Stegostoma tigrinum: one gene and its partner. The protein of the gene in region 1 interacts with the protein of each later gene in a biochemical or structural test. Links are inferred from orthologs where the notes say so. Each region holds a gene or a part of one and is shown on either strand. Other genes may lie near its edges. The genes, in order: syk and flt3.

Region 1 (10,815 bases):
GAAGGATTAGGTATACATGCATTTAGAAAGACAGGCTTTGATTAGGAGTAGTCAGCATGGGAGTGTCAGTAGGAAATCATCCCTCACAAATTTGTTTGAGTTCTTTGATGAAGTGACCAGGAAGATTGATGAGGGGAGGGCAGCAGATGCCATCTGCACGGATTTCAGTAAGGCCTTTGATAAAGTTCCACATGGTAGGCTGCTTTGGAAGATTAAGTTGCATGGAATCCAGGGAGAGTTGGCAAATTGGATGCACAATTGGCTTGGTGGTAGGAAGCAGAGAGTAATAGTGGAATGATGCTTGTCAGACTGGAGGCCTGTGATGAATGGTGTGCCTCAGAGGTTGGTGCTGAGCCCACTGCTAAATTCTAACTCTATCAATGATTTGGATGGGAATGTACAAGGCATGATTAGTAAGTTTGTGCATGACACTACAATAGACAGTATCCTGGACAGTGAGGATGGTTATCAGAAGTTGCAGCAAGATCTTGATGAGCTGGGGAAATGGGATGAGAAATGGCAAATGGAGTTTAATATAAATAAGTGTAAGATGTTGCATTTTGAAAAGTCAAACCAAGGTAGGAGTTTCATGGTAAATGGTATGTAATGAAACAGAGGGGCCTTGGAGTTCAGGTGCATGGTCCTCTGAAAGGGGATTCACAGCTATACAGGGCAGTCAAAAAGGCTTTAGGCACGCGAGCTTCCATCAGTCAGGGCATTGAATAAAGACATTGGGAAGCAATGTTGCTGTTACACAGGATGTTGGTGAGGCCGTACTTGGAGTATCTTGTTCAATTTTAATCACCTTGCTCTAGGAAAGATGTTATTAAACTGGAAAGAGTGCAGAACAAATCTACAAGGATTTTGCCAGGGCTCAAGGGACCGAGTTCTGGGGAGAGGCTGGGCAAATTAGGAGTTGCTTTTTTCCAGCATAGGAGACTGAGGGGTTTCTTATTGAAGTGTGTAAGATTATGAGAGACGTGAATAGGGTGAATACACTTCGTCTTCCTTCCCAGGTTTGGGGAATCAATGATTAAAGGGCATCAGTTTAAGGAAGAATACACAGGAATCTTAGGAGCAGCATTTTTCCAGAGAAGATGGTACACTTTTGGAACGAACTGCCAGTGGAAGAGCATTTGGACAAATTCATGGACAGGAAATGTTTATAACGATATGGGTGAAGTGAAGGGTTACAGTGGATGGACATTTTGGTCAGCACACACCCACTCGGGATGAAGGGCCTGTCTCTTTGCTGTAGGATTCTGTGACTCTATGAATCAACAAGTGCAAATTTGGCAAGTGAAATCTGAGAAAATGTGAGGCTATGCATTTTGGCAGCTCAATATTATTGCGATAGAAGAACTCTACAAAAAGTAATAGAACAGAGTGTTAACACTAACCCTAATCCTCATGCATGAATCACATAAAGCAGCATCCAAGCAGCATTCAGAAGGTAATAGGGAAAGCAAATGAACTCTCCGCCTTGATTTCAAAGAAAATGGAGCATTCAAATAGAGTAATCTTGATAAATCTCTGCAAAATATGAATTAGACCACTCTAAGAATATTGTAAACAGTTTTAGCCCTTTTATCTAAGGAAAGGCATTGAAGAAAGTCCAGGAAAGGTTCACATAGTGAACTTGTATGTGGAAGGATTTTCTCATGAGGAGATTTGTGTCGGGTAGGCCTATACTCATTGGAGTATAGAGGAATGAGAGGTGACCTTATTGAAACTTACAAGATTCTTAGGGGACATGGCAGGGTAGATAATAAGAGGTTGTTTCCCCTTGTGGGAGACTCTAGGACCAGAAAGCATAATCATAGAGTAAATTGTTGCTCATTTAAAACTAAATGATGAAGGTTGTTTTTCTCTCAGAGAGTTGTGGATCTGTGTAATACTTTAGCGCAGAGGTTTGTAGAGGCTGAAACATTAAGTATAGTCAAAACTGAGTTAAATAGATTGTTAATTGGTTAGGGAATCAGTGTTTATGGTGTTAAGGCAGGAAAGAAGAGTTGAGGATTATCAGAGCAGCCATATTCTCATTGAATGACAGAGCAGGTTCAATTAAAAAAAACTCTTGTGATTTTTACACAACATTTGACCCATTGAATCTGCTTTACCATTCAACGAGATCATGGCTGATCAACTCCACCTCACTACTTTTCCTGAATGTACAAATAGATGAATGGCAAGAAGGTAGCAGATGGAGCATATCTGGGGAAAAGTAACATTATTCATTTTCTTTAGGAAACTGAAAAATTAAAATTGTTTAAATGCTGAGAAATTGCCTGGTGTAAACATTCACATAGACGTGGATGTCCTTGTTTATGAAACACAGAAATGAATCATGCAGCTAAAGTGATTATTTAGGAACTTTGACGACATACTGGACTTTATTGCAAATGGATTAGAGCAAAGAATAAAGATGTCTTGTTGCAATTCTGCAAGGCTTGATGAGACCACACCTGAAGGCTTCTCCTCAGTTTTATTTTTTTGTACCGAAGGAAGGATGTAGTTCTCTTAGAGTAGGTGCAATGATGGTCCACTAGATTGGTTGTTGGTTCAATAAGTTTACTCTCTGAGTGATATTGAGCGCAACAGGCCTACATGCTACATGATTTAGAACAAAGAGAGACAATCACACTGAAACATGAAATTCTGATCAGGCCTGATTAGGTAAATGCTGAAAGATCATTCTCCTGGACTTGAGAACCTAGGCAAGTGGGTATAAACTTAGAATAAGTGGCCAACTACTGATGACTAGAATGAGGATAAATTTATTCATTCCCAAGGCTGTGAAACATTGGAATTCTCTGGCCCAGGGGAATATTCAGTTGTATATATTGCAAACAATAGTTTGTTTTTAATTCTAAGGGAATCTAGGGATATGCAATCACACTGGAAAGCAGATTTGATATTGAACATCATGCCTGATCTTATTGAATTGTACAACAAGATTAAGGGGCTGTTTGGCTCATTATATTTTTATTGCCTTATAAATGCAAACTGTTCATCAAGATTGTGAAACTTCTGACTCTATTCTAGAATTCGTTATAGATATTGCAATATATTTTAAATCCTTCATTCAGGAGCATTTTCATTACATTTTGTTTTAACTTGAAAGGGTTAATTTTAAGACAATTATTGCATTACAATCTGAGAACTCCTGTGAGGAAAATATAATTGGAGTGTGTGTGTCTGTCTGTCTGTTTGTCTGTCTGTCTCTGCCTGCCTGTCTGTATGTATTTTTGGAATTTGAGTTTCAAAAAAGAATGACATGGGTGTTTGCTGCTTCTTTGCTCTTTTTTCCTTTGAAATAAGGTCAGAGTGGCCTAAATCCAATATTTTATGAGAAAGTAGGTGATTGCAGATCCAGTGGTGTCAATAGAAAGATACTTATATTGTTGTGTTTACAACTGCTACAGGAAACATTTAAGGTTATTAGCTTTGTTTTCAGTTTAGAAAATTTCAGGGTTAAGCAGTGTTTTTTTAATATATTCAGTTTAGGAGAATCAGGGTTCAGTTTGGATGCAAGACTTGTTTGTCTTCTAACAGAAGCTCAGGGTCGTTTGAAGAAAACATCACCTCAGAGGAATGTTTTAGTTAGTGCAAGCTTTCAAACCAGATAGGTTGGTCAGGCTTCAGATTTGTAAAAACTTCACGGTGATGGACTTGGAAAAGACTTGCCAAATTATCTCAATAATTCACATGACAGAAAGGGCAAGGAATCATTTGAGTAAATATAGAGTTAAGACATGATGTAATTTCACCAACTTTGAGTGTCTCTGGAATGGATAGTGTAAGGAAACAGAGTGAAACTTTGTCCTGCTGTGTCTTTTATTGTCACTATAAAATGTTTCCATATTTAGATAGCTTTCTTCTTTTATGTGATAAACTTCTGTTCCATTGTTAAAGGAAATATGTTTCAGAGACTAACCATGAAGTTAACTAACTAAACCAAAAAACTAAACATACACCAAATTAGGTTTGATTTCATCCTGGGATCTGGCTTGTTTGACCATCAGCTAGAGTTATAACACAAGACGATGGAGTCTTACTTTACTAGAAAAGGCTCTAGGTGCTAAAGAGCTAGATATGTTGAGGTGTGTGGGGGGCTGTTGTGGTGTAGTGTTAATATTCCAATCTCTGTATCAGGAAGCCTGGCTTTGAGTCCCATCTGCTCCAGAGATGTGCAACTACATCAAAGAACAAGTTGATGAAAAAAACTGTATATTTTCTTCAACAATCCCATCCTTAACTAAAAACTCAGTCGGAAGTCTGTTAAACACAAAATGTCTTGCCCTCATCTACTTAATGCAATGAGCAGCACTATCTCAGGATGAGATTTTCACTCCCATTTAGAAACAATATTTCACCTAAGAGGGCTGCCAATCAGTATAGTTGTCTGGAATCTCAGTACTCCCAATAATGCATCAGGATTTCAAGGCAGGTCCTGGGTGTCAGTGGGGCTTGGCTGGGAGTGATGCTTTGGGGGTTGGGGTGGGTTTCTTCAAGAGGCTTATGTAGAAAAGACATAAAAGCAAGTTATGACTTTTGTCAGGGACAGTTCCATCGGGCACCATTGGCCTTCAAAGAAGTTACTATTTGATATCAGTTTGCCCAGTAAAAGCTGCAAGATTTCCCAGCTAGTGTGGCACTTTCAGCAGCAGTAGTGAAATAAAGCACTTATAGACCTAAAGTCCTACCACTGCATCTCAAGTTTGGTAGGCTGCCTGACACTTTACCCACCCAATATTAAATAGAAGACAGGTTGAAGGTGGATGTCAATGCATATGCTATGAGTTCTTCACCTTGAGGATAGGAAACCAAGGATCTGTTGAATAGAGTAGTGCAGAGGAGGGCAGTCCAATTTCCCTAGGACCAGTGGAAGTAACCACTACCCTAAACCTTGACAATCTACAACGTTGCCACCAGGGTCAATAAGGTCCCAGCCTTCTGAAGGAGTGTTCAGTACCATATGAAGAAGGTCAATGGCCTGCTTCACTCTGCCAACATAAATGCCATTATCTTCTCTTGGTTACTGCACACATTTCCAACCATGGCTCACACTCTACCACTCTTACTATTGCCTATAATATCTTCTCTCACTTGCTAACACACATCACCACTCCTCACACCACTAAACTTGCATGCCTCTGTTTGGGTAGGCAATGGCCTAATGGTATTATTACTGGACTGTTAATCCAGAGATCCAGATAACATTCTGAGGACTCAGATTCGAATCCCAGCACTGCAGAAGGTGGAATTTGAATTCAATAAATATCTGGAATTAAAAATCTAATGATGACTGTGAATCCATTGTCAATTGACAGGGAAAAATTCACCTGGTCCACTAATGTCCTTTAGGGAAGGAGACTGTCATCCTTATCCTACATGTGACTCTTGACCTACAGCAATGTTGTTGACTCTTAACTGCCCTCTAGGCAATTAGGAATGGGCAATAAATGCTGCCTAGACAGTGACATCCTCATCCTGTGAATGAATGAAGAAGAAAGCCTACCCCTCACTCAAGAGACAGTGCCAGCTTTCCCCACTTGCAGCAGTAATAGCTCCGACACCCCCTTTCATCTCACTTAATATGAGTGGCCATGTCCATATGACAGGATCTTGAGCCTAACCTGTCCCAGCAGTCCCACATGTTCCAGAGATGTTCACTAATATTTCCAACAGATTGATTAGAAAATAGTTCCAAATTGATTAGGTTATGATAGTAGTAGAGAGGATTGAGTGTTACTGGGAACTGGAGTCTGCAGATTTTGCAAATTTTGAGGATTGCATTTGACAGCACTCGATGAAAGTCTTTGGCTTGGTAGGGTCTAAAAGAATAGAGTTTGGCATGTTTTTAATTTAAATTCCCATTCTTCAGTTATCAATGCACAGGTCTGCCAATCCGTACAACGTGGCAACATTAGACTGCGATTGGTAATGGGAAAGCAAACTGCTCGCGCTTCTTTCTTAATCAGAACATCATTGCGTAGGTACAGGTCCGGGACGGAGCGAATTCTGTCGTCAGGAGTTTAATCCCGCCCCAAATTCGAACGCATGCGCAAAATAGTTCGGTTTTCATGGCTGCAATGATTCCTGTACTTGGGTAATCAACCCGGAAAGGCAAGCGGTAGTGGTTATTGACTCCATTGCACATAACTGAACATTTTGTCATTTTCTAATGTTGAGGAGGTTATTTAAATTGATATGTTCAAGAGCTATGTGCAACGCATTCACAGTGCGCACTCGATACACGACTTGGTGTAGTTTTGAGATATTTTACAGATTGGGCCTCAGGTTAACATTTGATCTGAAAGACACCAACTCTCGTAATGCAATACAGGTTCTAACTGCCGGCACATACAGTTTGCTCGAATTCCAAACTGGGATTTAACCTGGATGTCACCAACTTAATCATAGTTGTTATTATTTTAATGGTTCAGATCAATTTAAAATATTATCTATCGACAAAATTTGACAGAGACAATACAAATGTGACTCTATGAGTATCACTTAGATCCTGAAAAGCCGTCTTAACGCTGTTGCAAAAATCGTATTTTGCTAATGGATGCTATCATTCTCGCAGTGAGCAATTAAAAATTGTTTGCTAATTTAAAGAATCAAAAACACTTGAAGCCCGAAAACATAAATCTCTTACAACATAACACTGTTTCTTTGGGATACATCTTCACAGGCTGTCGTGAACATGCCCTGTTAATGAAATGTATTTGCGAAAATAGTGTTTTTTTAATTCAGTAACTATTTGGATTAAATTCCAATTATGTGTTTTGAAAGAAACGAAACTAACCTATCGGAGTAATTGTAAACGTTGTAATTGTAAATTTTATGCCACAATTTGTCTTATCAGTTGCTGATTCCATGAAAGGAGGAAGTTTTTTGGAATGAAGTGACTCGAGGAAGTAAGAATGGGGATTGGACTCGAGATGGAAAGAGGAAGTAACTGCCTACAGCTCATTCTCTCAACCAGCATCGAGTGTCCAAAGCAATTAAAATTTTCAACATGCGTTTGCGGATCTGAAATAGTGTGGGCTATTTTTCTTTTAAAACACACTGTCTGGGGTATTGCTGATCGTGCGGTGCTGTTTCTCCAGTGCCCTTTTTATGTTAAGATACGCATAGTTGTTCTGTATTTTAATTCGCATCAAAAACGGACCCGTCATTAATTAACTTTTAAAATAATCAGTTCAGCCTGTGACAGTGACAAGTGAATTCAAGGAAACAAGGCCGCACAGGTAAGGACTTTTTGGAATACTGGGAAATGTGAATTTTAATATGTGGACTTCCTTGAAGTATGTTTTCGCCGCACCGTATATTAGTAATTTAACTTAGGAAGCAAATTATTTTTCGACAATAAAAACGTGTTTCCCTCTATTCAACAAGGGTTCATATTCTTTCCTTTCTCGTTTTTAACATTGGATTTCGTTTCGTGAGCACTTCAGCATGCATTCGTCCAGAATTGTGCACATAGTGTTTTGGCAAGTACCATTTTGCTCCAGGCACTTCTGCAACGGTAGGAAATAGGGAAGTTGGCTTTTTACAAATGCTTATCTCGGATATTGTTTGCATGGTTCAAATTAACTTGCATTTTTTGATCACAAATAAATTCTGAAGTTATTTGTGAACCAGTGGACGGATAATTTCATTTACTGGCCGAGCGGTTTTTGATCCCGTGATCAGGAAACGTTGCCAATTCAACGAGGACAAAAACTTGACTACATATATAAAGTTTAAGAAGATTGAGCGCAGTCTGGAAGTGACACTAGATGAGTCAGTTTGGAGTCAGTACAATCTTATCATTGTGTCACGCTTGTTAAATACGTATATTTTTATCTTCTCACAACCTCTTTAGCATTACAATACATTTACAATCTTGCTGTTGTCTTCATTTTATTTTATGAAGTGTTGAAAATTTAAAACTAGATAAACTGAAAAAAAATCAGCCAGTCTTTGTGCAGTTGTATATATTTCTATATGTTACGGATCCTCAGTCAAACACGAGCTGAACGCTCCACAGTCGAACTGTGACTTTTTAGGCTCCCCCGATCTGTTTTCCTCCGGCCGCTGCTTCAAATTGATTTTTTACGCAACCGTTAATCTCATTTCATGGGCGTCTTTATGAATAGGAATATAAATCTGCGGGAACCTAGGGCGAGGGAATTTTAGGCGCATCGGTATCGCTAGTTGCTCTTCTTCCATTTCAACTTGTTTTAATGAGTGAACTTCTTGTCGCGTCTTCATATTTAGTTGAGGGCGGAAAAATTCAGTATATAGAATATGCGAAACACAAACAAAACGAAATGTTGCGGATGCTGGAAATGTTCAGCAGATCTAAGCAGCATGTTTAAACAGTTACTTTTGAGACATACGACCTTTCATCGGAGCTTGTTGCTTCAGATGCAAAAATACAATCATTTAAACGGAACTATTTTAAAAGACTGCTTATTCTGATAGCGCAGACGTACCTAGTGTTAAAGCAATTACACTTTATTTCTTTGTATAATATTGAAATTTTCTTTTGTCTCACTGTGGGTTTTGCAAATATTTTGCAACCAGAAACGAACCAAAATGGGAACGAAATTGATGCTTGCAGCTAGGTTGCCGCGGCGTCGACGTTAACTGCCATCTTCTGTTATGTGTAGTTCAACCAGTTTTCAGGCTGTTCACCCTTACTGCCACAATCGTCATGTTCTCTCAGCACCATGAACACAGCATTAATCCGAAAACACTACCTGCAAAAGCCCTTCTTGGCTACTTTATATGATGCTGCCGAAGTCTTTACTTGACCCACCGATGTCCTAGTTCCTAATCATGTCCTTTCTCGTTACTCCACACATCAATCTTGCTCTTTGCATCTCATGAGTATCCAGTTGTTAGTGTCTTATTGACATTGCCCCTATTTCTGTGCTTTATAACAGAGCTGGTCATACAACTGTCTTGCAGATTCTTTCTTTCAGTTTCAGTGACAGTTGTGTATCAATTAACAATATCATTAGAATCCCCACAGTGCGGAAACAGGCCCTTCGGGCCAACAAATCCACATCAACCGTCAGGGAATCCCACCCAGACCCATCCCCCTGATCTACACATCCCTGAACACTACAAGCGATTTAGCATGGCCAATCCATCTAGCTTGCCCATCTTTGGACTGTGGGAAGAAACCAGAGCACCTGGAGGAAACCCACGCAGACATGGGGAGAATGTGTAAACTCCACGCAGTCACCCGAGGTTGGAATCGAACCTGGATCCCTGGTGCTGTGAAGCAGCAGTGCTAACCACTGAGCCATCATGCCACCCCAAATGCTGCATTTCATCCATTACTCCAACCAGAAATAATTTGTCGTTTAATTTCAATTTTCGTTCTTCTGTCCTCTGCCATCATTGATCCGAGATACTTTCAACTCTCCGTTTTCTCCAGATCTTTCCCATTATCTTTACAGCTTCACTCTGATTTAATTTCCTGGGCTGAAGCTGACAGCCTATGTTCTGTTATCTTCATTCTCATTTCTTCCAGCATTTCTCTTCAATTCTTCAGAACTCAGTCACGTTCTCATTATCCTCTCCACATAGCTGAATGCCCTTTGCAAATATCATTGACTTGATATTTCCTGCCTCATGTTCTCAGTTGCAATATTCATGATAATCAGGAAGGAGTGCTGAGTGCTGATGCAATCTAACATTCCTGTCAAAACTCCCACCTTACCTCACACAGACTCTTATTCTTATTCTTGCCTAGCTTTTGTTGCATATATCCTGAAAGACTTTTAAAGGTCTTGACAAGTTCTAGCACATCTCCAAATGTCCTCCCTAGGCACCAGTCTTAAGTGTCCTCCAGATTCAGTATGCAGTTTTACTTTACATTGGCTTTCCCAATATTTCACGAACAGTTCAAAGATATGTAAGGCAAACATGTTGCTGACAATTATCCCTCAACCAATACAGATAAATTATTAAGTATTAAGTGTTGTTTGTTGGGCTGTGTACTGTGCATATTGGTCACTACAAAAGTGACTACACTTTAAAAGGATTTCAGTGACCATTAAGCACATTGGAGTAATCTGGCATAGAATACCATGTAATTGCAAGTTATTTCCCTCATTCAGTTGTGTCAGACACAGCACCTTTGAGTGCTTTCATGGGATATGAATAATACTGGCAAGGCCAGAATTTGTTGGTTATCTTTCATTGCCCTTGACATGGTTTTGGTGAGCTCCTTCTTAAACTTCAGCAGTTTGGATAATGCATGCACATACAATGCTGTTGAACATAGAACATAGAACAGTACAGCACAGAACAGGCCCTTCAGCCCACAATGTTGTGCATCCCATTGATCCTCATGTATGCACCCTCAAATTTCTGTGACCATATACATGTCCAGCAGTCTCTTAAATGACCCCAATGACCTTGCTTCCACAACTGCTGCCGGCAACGCATTCCATGCTCTCACAACTCTCTGCGTAAAGAACCTGCCTCTGACATCCCCTCTATACTTTCCACCAACCAGCTTAAAACTATGACCCCTCGTGCTAGCCATTTCTGCCCTGGGAAATAGTCTCTGGCTATCAACTCTATCTATGCCTCTCATTATCTTGTATACCTCAATTAGGTCCCCTCTCCTCCTCCTTTTCTCCAATGAAAAGAGACCGAGCTCAGTCAACCTCTCTTCATAAGATAAGCCCTCCAGTCCAGGCAGCATCCTGGTAAACCTCCTCTGAACCCTCTCCAAAGCATCCACATCTTTCCTATAATAGGGCGCCCAGAACTGGACGCAGTATTCCAGGTGCGGTCTAA
Region 2 (10,383 bases), on another chromosome or scaffold:
ACTTATGGTTGAGTCCAGATGCTCATTATTAGTACTGGACTCAACAGGGCCCTGTGCTGCAGCAGTTCTCCAAGTGTCAGAGCCTTCTGCCATTTTATCCTCCTCCAGCTGCGAGCCCATACCAGTGCTGTACACACCACAATGTGACTCTAAGCCTACTCTAGATATATACCATCAAGGTGAATGGCTCTCCAGTGGTGGAGGGTAGAAGACCTTCATTGTATTTCCTTTGAGACTCCTGGTTGCTTGTTGGGCAGTATGGTGGCTCGGTGGTTAGCACTGCAACCTCACAGCACCAAGGACCCAAGTTCGATTCCACCCTTAGGAGACTGTCTGTGTGGAGTTTGCACATACTCCTCCTGTCTGCGTGGGTTTCCTCCAGGTGCTCTGGCTTTCTCCCACAGTCCAAAGATGTGCAGGATAGGTGGATTGGCCATGCTAAATTGCCCATAATGTTCAGGGAATGCATAGTTTAGGTGGGGTATAGGGTGATGGGTCTGGGTGGGATGCTCCGAGTGTGGTGTGGACTTGTTGGGCCGAAGGCCCTGTTTCCACATCGAGGGATTCTTTAAAGGAAAAAGGTGTGTTTTGACAAGCTGGGAGAAGTGTGCCTGGGGACTAAGGCTGTTGCTTAGTTGGACCTTGTTTGATTCTTGTTTTTGGAGGCTGCATAGAAATGCAAACAGACTTGGTAGTGTGGTGTGGTGTAAACCCTTAGCCAAGATTTGATTAATATATGCTGCTGATAGATCTTTCAAGTAGGTATTCTTACTACATGGCTGCGCATATCAATTGACCCTGAGCACAAGCCCAGTCCCATTGCACACCTGCCAACTCAGCAGCCTTCTCCCTAAAAGTGAGAACCCTTATGTCAGAAATTCACCCTTGCTTAGCCTACCTGCACTAATTGTACACCTTTATTTCCTGCAGGAGAGAAGCATTGAAAGACATTAGCATAGGTACATGAGCGTCTTGCCTGTGTTGACAGATAGATACATTCTCGAACCCTCAGACTTGTCTTCACCAAAGTGATATATCTGTAAGAAGACAGTGTATGGAGAAAGTTAGCAGTTCAAGGGCCCTGAATGAAAGTTGGTTCAATGTGGTCAAGGAGCTAGAGTTGAAGGAAATCAATGAAACTGTAAACTGTGTGTGTCCCCTTTAACCCTGTGAGGTGTTCTTCCTGAAGCCATCTTTTCCGGTTGTATCCTTGTCCCACGCAAGCCTATAGTGAGAAGCTATCAGATGCGCAAGTTCACCTCATTGCGACAAGATCAATGAGCTGATAGTGCATAAGTTGCTGCGTATAGCTCCATTTATGTTTGAAGTGTAAACCAGGTTAGATTCAGAAGTAGCACTGTTGCACTAGAAGTTCAATCCTGGTAGGTGCAATGAAGTGGCACACATTGATTGCACATGCGGTGACGGAGATGGTGGCAGTCAATCTTGGAAGTGATAATCCTCTGAAGTAGCAAGTTGACAATGAAAACTCATTCATTGGGGCATGAATCATTGAGTACACATTGGGACTTAGCTTGGTGTGTGCAGCAAATCATTCATCCTCCTGGACATTGATGGTTCACACAGGTAGTAACCTCCACAGTCAGGTCAGCTCAGGCTGCTTTAGTGACTTGGGTTGGCCTTTTGTTGCCACTGTACAAAATAAAACAACCTTTCTCTCACAGACACCCTGCAGAAGCAGCCTTAGAGAGGTATCACTGAAGTATGGGACATTCTTCAGGCAAATCTCAGGTATTTTCAGGGATGAGTAGGGGTGATGAGCTAATTTGTGGAGAGTGATGCTGTCTGGTTGCCTTTTAACCAGAGTGCCTGGAAGGTCCCAACAGGAGCCAGAACTTCCGGTCACAAAAATTTGGCTCCTTACCTACTGAATATGTAAAGAACTTAAAAGAACGTAACTGCATGAGAAAATCTGCCTCACCACTAAGCAGAAGTACCTCCAGTTTTTTATAAGACATAACATTTTGCCTATTGTGTCTTAGTCAGACTCACATTTGTGAGTTGTTTAACCTAATGTTGGACTCGGCAGCTTGTGAGACCCTGGAATCCAATGTGTGGCTTCTGTAATAGGCTGGGGCTATTTTCTCTGGAGCATCGGAGACTGAGGGATGACCTTATGGAGGTTTATAAACTCATGACAGTCATGGATGGGGTGAATAACCAAGGTCTTATTCCCAGGGTACAGGAGTCCAAAACTAGAAAGGTTAGGTTTAAAGTGAGAGGGGAATGATATAAAAGGAACCTAACGGGCAGCTTTTTCATGCAGAGGGTGGTGCATGTATGGAATGAGCTGTCAGAGGAAATGGTGGAGGTTGGTACAATTACAACATTTAAAAGTCATCTAGATGTGTACATGAATTGGAAAGATTTTGAGGAATATGGGTCAAATGGTCTGTATCCTTGCTGTACAACTTTATGACTCTGGTTCATAAAAGGAATACATCTTTCAAACATTTACTGAAAACATTTTCAAAGAATCGTTCTCCAATGTACTCCCAGTTCAGAAATACATTTAAAAAATCAGTTATCCAAACATTCTTGTTTGCCGAATGTTTTGCCAGGGAAAATGAGACTGTGCACTATTGGATATTTTCCAATCAACCTGTTCAAACAAGTATGACATAGTTCAGGTATGACTAGAACCCAGACCTGCTGGCTGAGAGGTAGGGTCATTACCCCTGCACTGCAAAAGGCTTTTTTACATTGTTGACCACCATTGAATCGTATGGGTCACCTACAAACAGACTCAATAATCAGTAACACATCACACTCACTCTAACCCTGGTTGATCTGTTTAAAAAGCACACCTACAATGGCACATTCTGATTGGCCATTAAAACTGGAATTAAACTGTCATTGGTCGAATGTGCAACATGTAGAAGCTGATTAGTCAATTGCAACAGAAATGCTTTTGATAGTCCTGATGCTATGCTGGTGAACACGTGCAGGGACGCACATTAATCAATAAAAGAGCAGTCTTACTCTGGCCCTGATGCTGGGTCTGTGTTGGTAAGCACGTGCCTTGTGTGCAAGCAGGCACATAATCACTGAAAGGGGACAAACTTAACCGCATCCTTGTTTTGAGTCTGCTTTGGAAATGGCTTCAAAAGGAGAGAAGAATTGAAGAGGAAAATTCAGATTTTCAAGATGAATGGACTGATTCATTCGCATTCATTCCAAATTTGGCTAGCCTCCCTGTGTATCTCATTTGCAATAAGAAATTAGCCAACACCAAGAAATCAAATCTTAAGAGGCATTTCACTCAAAAGCATAGTACCTTTGCTGGAAGACATCCAGATGGAAAAGCCTAAAAGAAAGTACTGCAATAGTTCAAGAACAAAGCAGAGACATCTCAGAACAAGTTTGCTAAGTGGATGAAATCATCAGGTGGCTAAATGGCAACTCAAGAGATTATAAAAACAAAAGCAAACAGAAATTGTGAATGTATGAGATAGTGTTTTATCAAAGTTCCACAGCAGCTGTACAATTACTTTAAAAACAAAAGTTAAATTATTAAAGAATTGAATGTTGAACCTTTATGTGCAGAGACTGAGGAACAGAACAGCAAAGATAGCCACAGATATCATCTACACAGCAGACTGAAGTTGTATATTCCACTCCAGTTTAACTGTGTTCTCAAGTATGACTTTCATAAAAAGCAAGTTGAAAAGCTAATTGAATAAAATTTTACACTACTGCTTGGAAATGTAAATACCAGCATACTGTCCAGATATTAAATGTCTCCCCAAGGAAATCCAACAGCTGAAATTGTTTTAAGAGGTTTACATTTTCATATAAGGAAATAATTTATGTGAATTAAATTGCTTGTTTTGGTATTTTAATATTTTAGGTTCATTACATTTGTGAAAAAGCAATATCAAATTAACAATTTAAAGTCAAAAGCTTAGGAATATTCTCGCTAATAAAATGTTCTCTTTCCTCAATATTAATACATATAATACATAAGTATCAGTGAAGCAGGATAGTGTAAGGAAGGAGAGGTTGAAGCCCTCTGATAACTAAAATTGAAACACAAGCCCTCCATCTCTTATAGCAAAAGACGAGGTCTCCTTGTAATAATTAAATCCGAAACACCCAGAGAAGCTTACCTCGTCTAATCTGTTAAATTGTTACGGTGAAGGGGAGGTTAAATGGAAGAAAATCCCTGATATCCACTTTATAAGTAACAAATAACAATTTATTTAACCCTAACAGTGCACAAATTAGCATAATTTGAAAAAAAAACAAAAACAAAAAATTCCTCCTTAACTACCAACAAAATTCTACTGGTATGCTACTCCAATAAACACAAGTCCCACTGGTATACGTCCAAGTAATAAGAAAATAAATTAAAGCTTAGTCTCTCAAAGTCCACATGCCTTTCTGTTGCTATTTTGAACTCATAAATGCATTTCTTCCACTGATCCGGCTGTCAGGGATGCTTTCTCTATGAAGTCTTCTGTGAGAACTCTTAGTTAGAAATGCCATAGTACCTTTTATGGGTAGATGGTGTTTTCCGAGACAGTTTAGTAATTTCTTGTGAGAATCAGATATTTATTTATCAGATGGCGAGGTCGCTCTCACACCAATTTTCAAAAACCCTCTCCTTACAAACCTTTGATGACATATCAATTTTCTTACAATAGCATTGATTCAAGGTTGCTAAAACCATCAGATTTAAATTCAATTGGTTTTCAATTGCCAAAGTGCTTGGCTTAAATTAATTGACTGATTCCAGTTAGTTGCCAAAACATCAAAACAACCTTAAGGTTTGCAATCACACAGTTAATTGATAAGTTTCAATTTCCGAACTGTCTGTACCTATTCAGCAGCCTACAGATACATTTACATTTCAATCTCCGAGCTTAAAAACGCACATCACCTCTTAAAGGGACTACGCACTCTTCCCCACCTTATCATTTTTTTACAAACATATTCTCGCTGCCTGCCTTCCAATTCACAATTACTCTACGCAACTTTGTAACAATAGAAATCAAAAAATGTCTCTAAATTTTGGTGTTATTGATGAACAGCAACGAGCTTTTAATATACTGTTTTGATTACTTTTTAATCATGGTGCTTCTTGTCATTGATTTGCACAGCCCTGTTCTCACCTGTTGCATGGTGACATTCATGTGACATGAATGATACTTTCAAACTACGTACCTTTCCTATACTTGCCCCTTTAGAGAAATGCAATGTTGATGGATTTGATTTGAACTACTATTTTTGCTTTGTTTACCAGCTGACAATTCTTCAGTCTATACAGCAATCCATTTGTGAGCACCAAAGTACTCCTTCAATACTTGCAATTGTTCCATTGGACACTCAGCTGTTTACTGGCATTGAACAATTGAATCATTAATTTCAATAAATTATTTTAATCATTTGTATAAGAAATGTATTTTCAAATGTTGGCCAGAGACTCAAGCCCTGTATAAATTCCCCATTCACTGTGACGTTTGAAATAGCCCGGATTCCCTCAGCAACTTCACAGTGTTGGTCAAAATCCTATTCAAACAATTTCCCTTCCACCTATGTGGTATTCTGAAACTAATTTCATTGCTGAAAATCCCCTCATAACGTGTTTTTTTAAACTAAGTAATGAGATAACTTTCAGTATGTTCATTTTACATTCTGATGGTATGGTCTTATTACTGTAACTGGTAATCTGTAGGACCTGTGTACAAACGCACATAGAAGTAAAATGAAAAAAATACTATGTGTAAATATTATTAAATATGATTTTAAAAATCCCGAAGGTTGCCGATGTTCTTTAACATCCATTCTTAACCTGATCTGGCCTATATATCATTATAATCTCATACGGTGATTCATAACTGCCCACATTCTCACCAAACAATGTACTCAATTGCATCAAATCATTGCTGTCCAGTCAAAACAAAGACCCATCATAATTTCCGCCGAGGCATAAGCTTTGTAAATAATTATTAATGACGTCTTCACTGCAAGAATTATAAATTTTTTAAAACTTTTTTTCAGATTGTAGGTTCATTGTAGAATTTCAAATTAATATCAAACTCGATCAACTTAATTTTTGAATGTTCCGTGTAAAGCAGAATGTTTGAAGAAATTCCGTTTGATGGCAAATAACATCAGAAAGATAATGGCAGAAAATACGCTTGTTATGAAATTTTAAAAAAACTTCTGTTAAATAAGCTAAAATTGAATTTAGAAATTTTGTCAGGAGTCAAAGAGCAAAATAAAAATAACATTGTTATTTATATTTTCTCATTGGAAATTAATAAGAGCATTATTGAAAACAGGGTGGGCTAAGTCCTTTGCACTGGTTCCTGTTGAGTGACGTATGAACAGGTTAAATAAAACCCACAGTCACTTTCAGCTTTAATGCTTGGCACCGTGCACTTGTGGAGTATCTCAGTATATATTTTCATATCCTGTTTTTGATTTAAAAAAGTGTAGAACCACAATGTTGGAATTCATGTTTGAAACAGCAAGCAAGCTCTTTTTCGTGGTTCTGAGTACGTATATGTATCTGACACCAGGGCTTTTAAACTTCTTTGAAAGACCAAATGTGCCGTGAGTAGTAGCATGGAGAGATTTGAATTGCAGATGTGATATTGTTTATTGTGGAAAGATGTAATATCTTAATTGTTGACTAAACGTTTTTCAGTGTATGCTGCAAACTAGTTTAAATGCTATTATAATGGTTCAAACTGCGAGAAGAGATACGGACAACACAAACATTTAACAACGCGAACAGGTAGATTTTTGTTTCCTTTGTTGATGCGTGGATCTGGGTCACTCACGTGTATGTAGCGGCAGTTCATATCAATGGAATCATTTCGGTCCAACATTATTGAAAGCGGACCGTTGCATCTAGACCGCCAGTTGTAATTACTTTTTAAGCCATTTTCTTAAACATTGTATCTCTTTTATTTAAGCATAGAAAGGTCAGTTTTCTATTGCGGTGACACGGTATCACAACTATACAATAAGATATGATAAAGTTTTTTTTAAAGAAAGAGCAGGGCTTCGATTTGGAAACAATCTCTAACAAATGTTTTGTTCTGTCCTCCTCACATAAGACGCATAGAATAAATTTCCTACCCTTGGGTTCCCAGTTTATAATTCGTGCAGCGTTTATGAAACTAAAAAGACAGCAGTCATAGCCATTACGGAACACGCCAAGATTGGAATTGCTTTCTAGGTGAAAGATGAAGTAAATATGTAAGTTCTATTTTGTGTAACAGCAGATAAGAAACTACTGAGGAGGACGTGCCTTTGGATTTGATGTTTAACATTGATGGGGCGAAAAAGTAACAACGATTCGCAATACCTACCTTGCTGTGTTATAAATGCAACTGGGAATTCCCATTTGCATGGTAATTTTACTTGCGTGTTTAAGAGTATGTCAGAAATGTCACTGGCCAAAAGTGTGGAAACCTCTCCTAACGGGGACACGTGCAGTTTGCATGCAACCTTACAAATATCAACACTTTTAGGTTCATGTTTTCACTTCTGTATAAACATATATACTGCATTGAGTTTAAAGAACATCTATTTCCGGAACAAGATTGCCAATATTGTTGGTTTGGATCCCAAATCTGCACTTGATCTGACAGATGATACAGAGTAGCTTTCTAACATCTAGAACACCGTTTCAGTCAATGAATAGACAAAGGTTTGGCAAGACTGTTTCTCCCATCAAAAGGAAAGCTAGGCCCGAAAACTTATTAACTGCACAGAATGATTTACCTTGTGAGGAAAACCAATATTAGATTCGTAGAATCTCTTGCAGTGTGGAAGCAGGCTGTTCGACCCGTCCATTCCACACCGACACTCTAAGGAGCATCCGCCCACGGCTAATCCACCTAGCCTGTTCAGAAACATAAAATAAAAAAGACCCTGCAGACTCTTGAACACGATGGACAATTTAGCATGGCTAACCTGCACATGTGGACTGTGGAAGGAAAGCCAAGCAGACACGGGGAAACGTGCAGGCTCCACACAGACACTCGTCCGAGGCAGGAATCGAACCCCAGCCCTGCCACTGAGAGACAGCAGTAGTGCTAGTCACTGAACCACGGTACCTCCTAATAGTTCTAGTAAAATTAATAGTGGACACAAAAGACGAAAGGAAATGCAGATTTTATCTGATAATAGTAACCTAACCATAGCATTTAAACAGAAGGAAACTGCAGCGTGAAATCTAGATGCGGGAGTAGCAAATGTGGAGCCAGTGCGAGTTTTCGAATTACTAAATCAAAAATCTGAGACTTCTACTCACCTTTTTTTTCGTCTGTAGTTGAAACACGTGTGGCAAAAGCGGAAAGAGGACATAAACAAGCTCGAAAGTACCAGTGACACATTTTTTCCTCTCGTTCTTAAAATGTCCCTTGCCCGGGCAGTGATCCGGAAAACAGTGAAACAAAATGTGCGCCCCCTCCTCCGCTGCTCACACGCCAAACATTTCCCCTTTGCTACTAACAATACTTTTACTCCTTCATTCTGAGGGGAAACTAAACCTCAAATTGCGACTTGACACTTTTCCGCAGGCACAAACATCTGCCATCCTCTAACCGCGCGAATTATATCCTACGCATGATGCTGCCAAAGAAAACCAAGCAAAAACGTACATTTAGTCCAGAGACCCGCAACATTTAAATTGATGTACATTCGAAGCGATGAAAAGGTGAGGAAAAAAAAACACATTTTCACGCAGCGTGTGTGGAATGCATTGCTTGGAGATGAGATGGAAGCAGGTTCGATTGAGGCATTCAAGAAGCATTGGATGATTATTTGGATAGAAGTAGTGTGGAGGGGTATGGGGAAAAAGACTAAATAATAGGTGCAGACATGATGGGCCAAAAGGCCTCCTTCAACACCTTAATAATTCTGTCATTCTTTGACTTAAAATTCTCTTCTTGCATATAATAATCATAGCAATGCAACATTAATAGCCATCATCTTCCAAATCATAAACCTGAGTACGCAAAATAAAATTACACCTAGTTTCTTGTTGCTTCCTGGACTCTGTCTCTACCTATTTGCTCACTTGTTTCTCCTATTCATCCCTGCCACTGTCAGCAGCATATATTCTACCTTTTCTCAGCTACTATCGCTTTTAGAGTAGGGACATTGGACATTAACTCTGCTTTCGCTTAACAGATGCTGCCAGAGTTGCTGAGTTTCTCTAACAATTTCAGTTTTTATTGAACCTGAGTATGTAGTCTCGGTAATAGTTTTTACAAGCTATATACTTTATTCCTCAAAGTATTTATATTTTTCTGATGCAATGCAATTACGGTTGCTGCCAATATTTACAATACATCCTGTGGCAAAGATGCCAGACCCATCCTATAGAGATTTTACACATTTTCTAGCCTTCGATGCGCTATGACAAATCAACATTCAACAGGAGCCGTTCACCATTCCATGTTCTAAACCTGGAATGTACCAGTCTGCAATACTCAGTCCTTATTAACATTTTTCACCAAGACTAACGGTCCTCCAGCAGCAGCGCTGCTTATCTCAGTGTTCATCTCTGGAAGTAGCCAGTAGAACAAGACTTCTGCATTATGGAATTGCTCAGTATGAACTCCAACAAAAGATACTTCACAGACATTCTTTGCAAATTGCAGAAGGAGGTGGACAATGTCTCCCCCACTAAACTGGCTTGAAATACTGGGCTAATACTCATTGTTATAACCTGATTCTGATGCCACCTATCATCATGCATAAACTTCTCTGCTTTTTGTACTCAGATCATTAACATCCATGTCCAGGAGACAATCTCAAATGCAAATGGAATGTTAGACTTAAATACAAAGAGATTGAAATATTAGAGTAAGGAGTTCTCATTGCCTTATTTTGGGTCTCAGTGAGACCACACCTGCAATACTGACTAGTTTTTGTCTCTTTCCTTAAGGAGTATATGAATCTTTCCCACCCCAATCAGTTTGTTGCATATGACTTCTTACATAGTTGGAAAGATGCTGATAGCAACCTAAGGACTCTCTCTTATTGCATTCATTCCTGGGTTGACAGGATTGTCCTCTGACAAATTGAGTAGGCTAGGCCTATATTCCCTAGAGTTTGGAAGAGTGAGAAGAGCTTTCATTGAAATGTAAAGTTCTTAAGGAACTTGACACTGTACATCTGAAAGTATATTTCCCAAGGCTGGGAATCTATATCTAGGGAATACAATTTCAGAGTATGATTTTGACATTATAACCAGTAAAGGAGAAATTGCCTCACTCAAAGAGTTGTGAATCATTGGGATTTCCTCTCAAAATGGCTATGAATATATATATTGAATCTGAAGGACAGGATTTACATGTATGTGGAAAGTCAAGGACTGATTAGGGATAGTCAACA

What was found.
Region 2: of the proteins of syk (region 1) and flt3, one has a biochemical effect on the other in vitro, tested with the Homo sapiens proteins (2 studies listed by IntAct, with this or other methods). The link is inferred for Stegostoma tigrinum from reciprocal best matches to the Homo sapiens genes SYK and FLT3.

Annotation. Positions count from the first base shown.
Region 1 is NC_081356.1:52,824,923-52,835,737, reverse strand, and holds the start of syk (tyrosine-protein kinase SYK), read left to right. Parts: upstream 1-6,071; 5' UTR 6,072-6,136; intron 6,137-6,874; 5' UTR 6,875-7,259; intron 7,260-10,815. UniProt on the Homo sapiens protein: Non-receptor tyrosine kinase which mediates signal transduction downstream of a variety of transmembrane receptors including classical immunoreceptors like the B-cell receptor (BCR).
Region 2 is NC_081359.1:78,787,322-78,797,704, reverse strand, and holds the start of flt3 (receptor-type tyrosine-protein kinase FLT3), read left to right. Parts: upstream 1-6,410; 5' UTR 6,411-6,472; coding exon 6,473-6,524; intron 6,525-10,383. UniProt on the Homo sapiens protein: Tyrosine-protein kinase that acts as a cell-surface receptor for the cytokine FLT3LG and regulates differentiation, proliferation and survival of hematopoietic progenitor cells and of dendritic cells.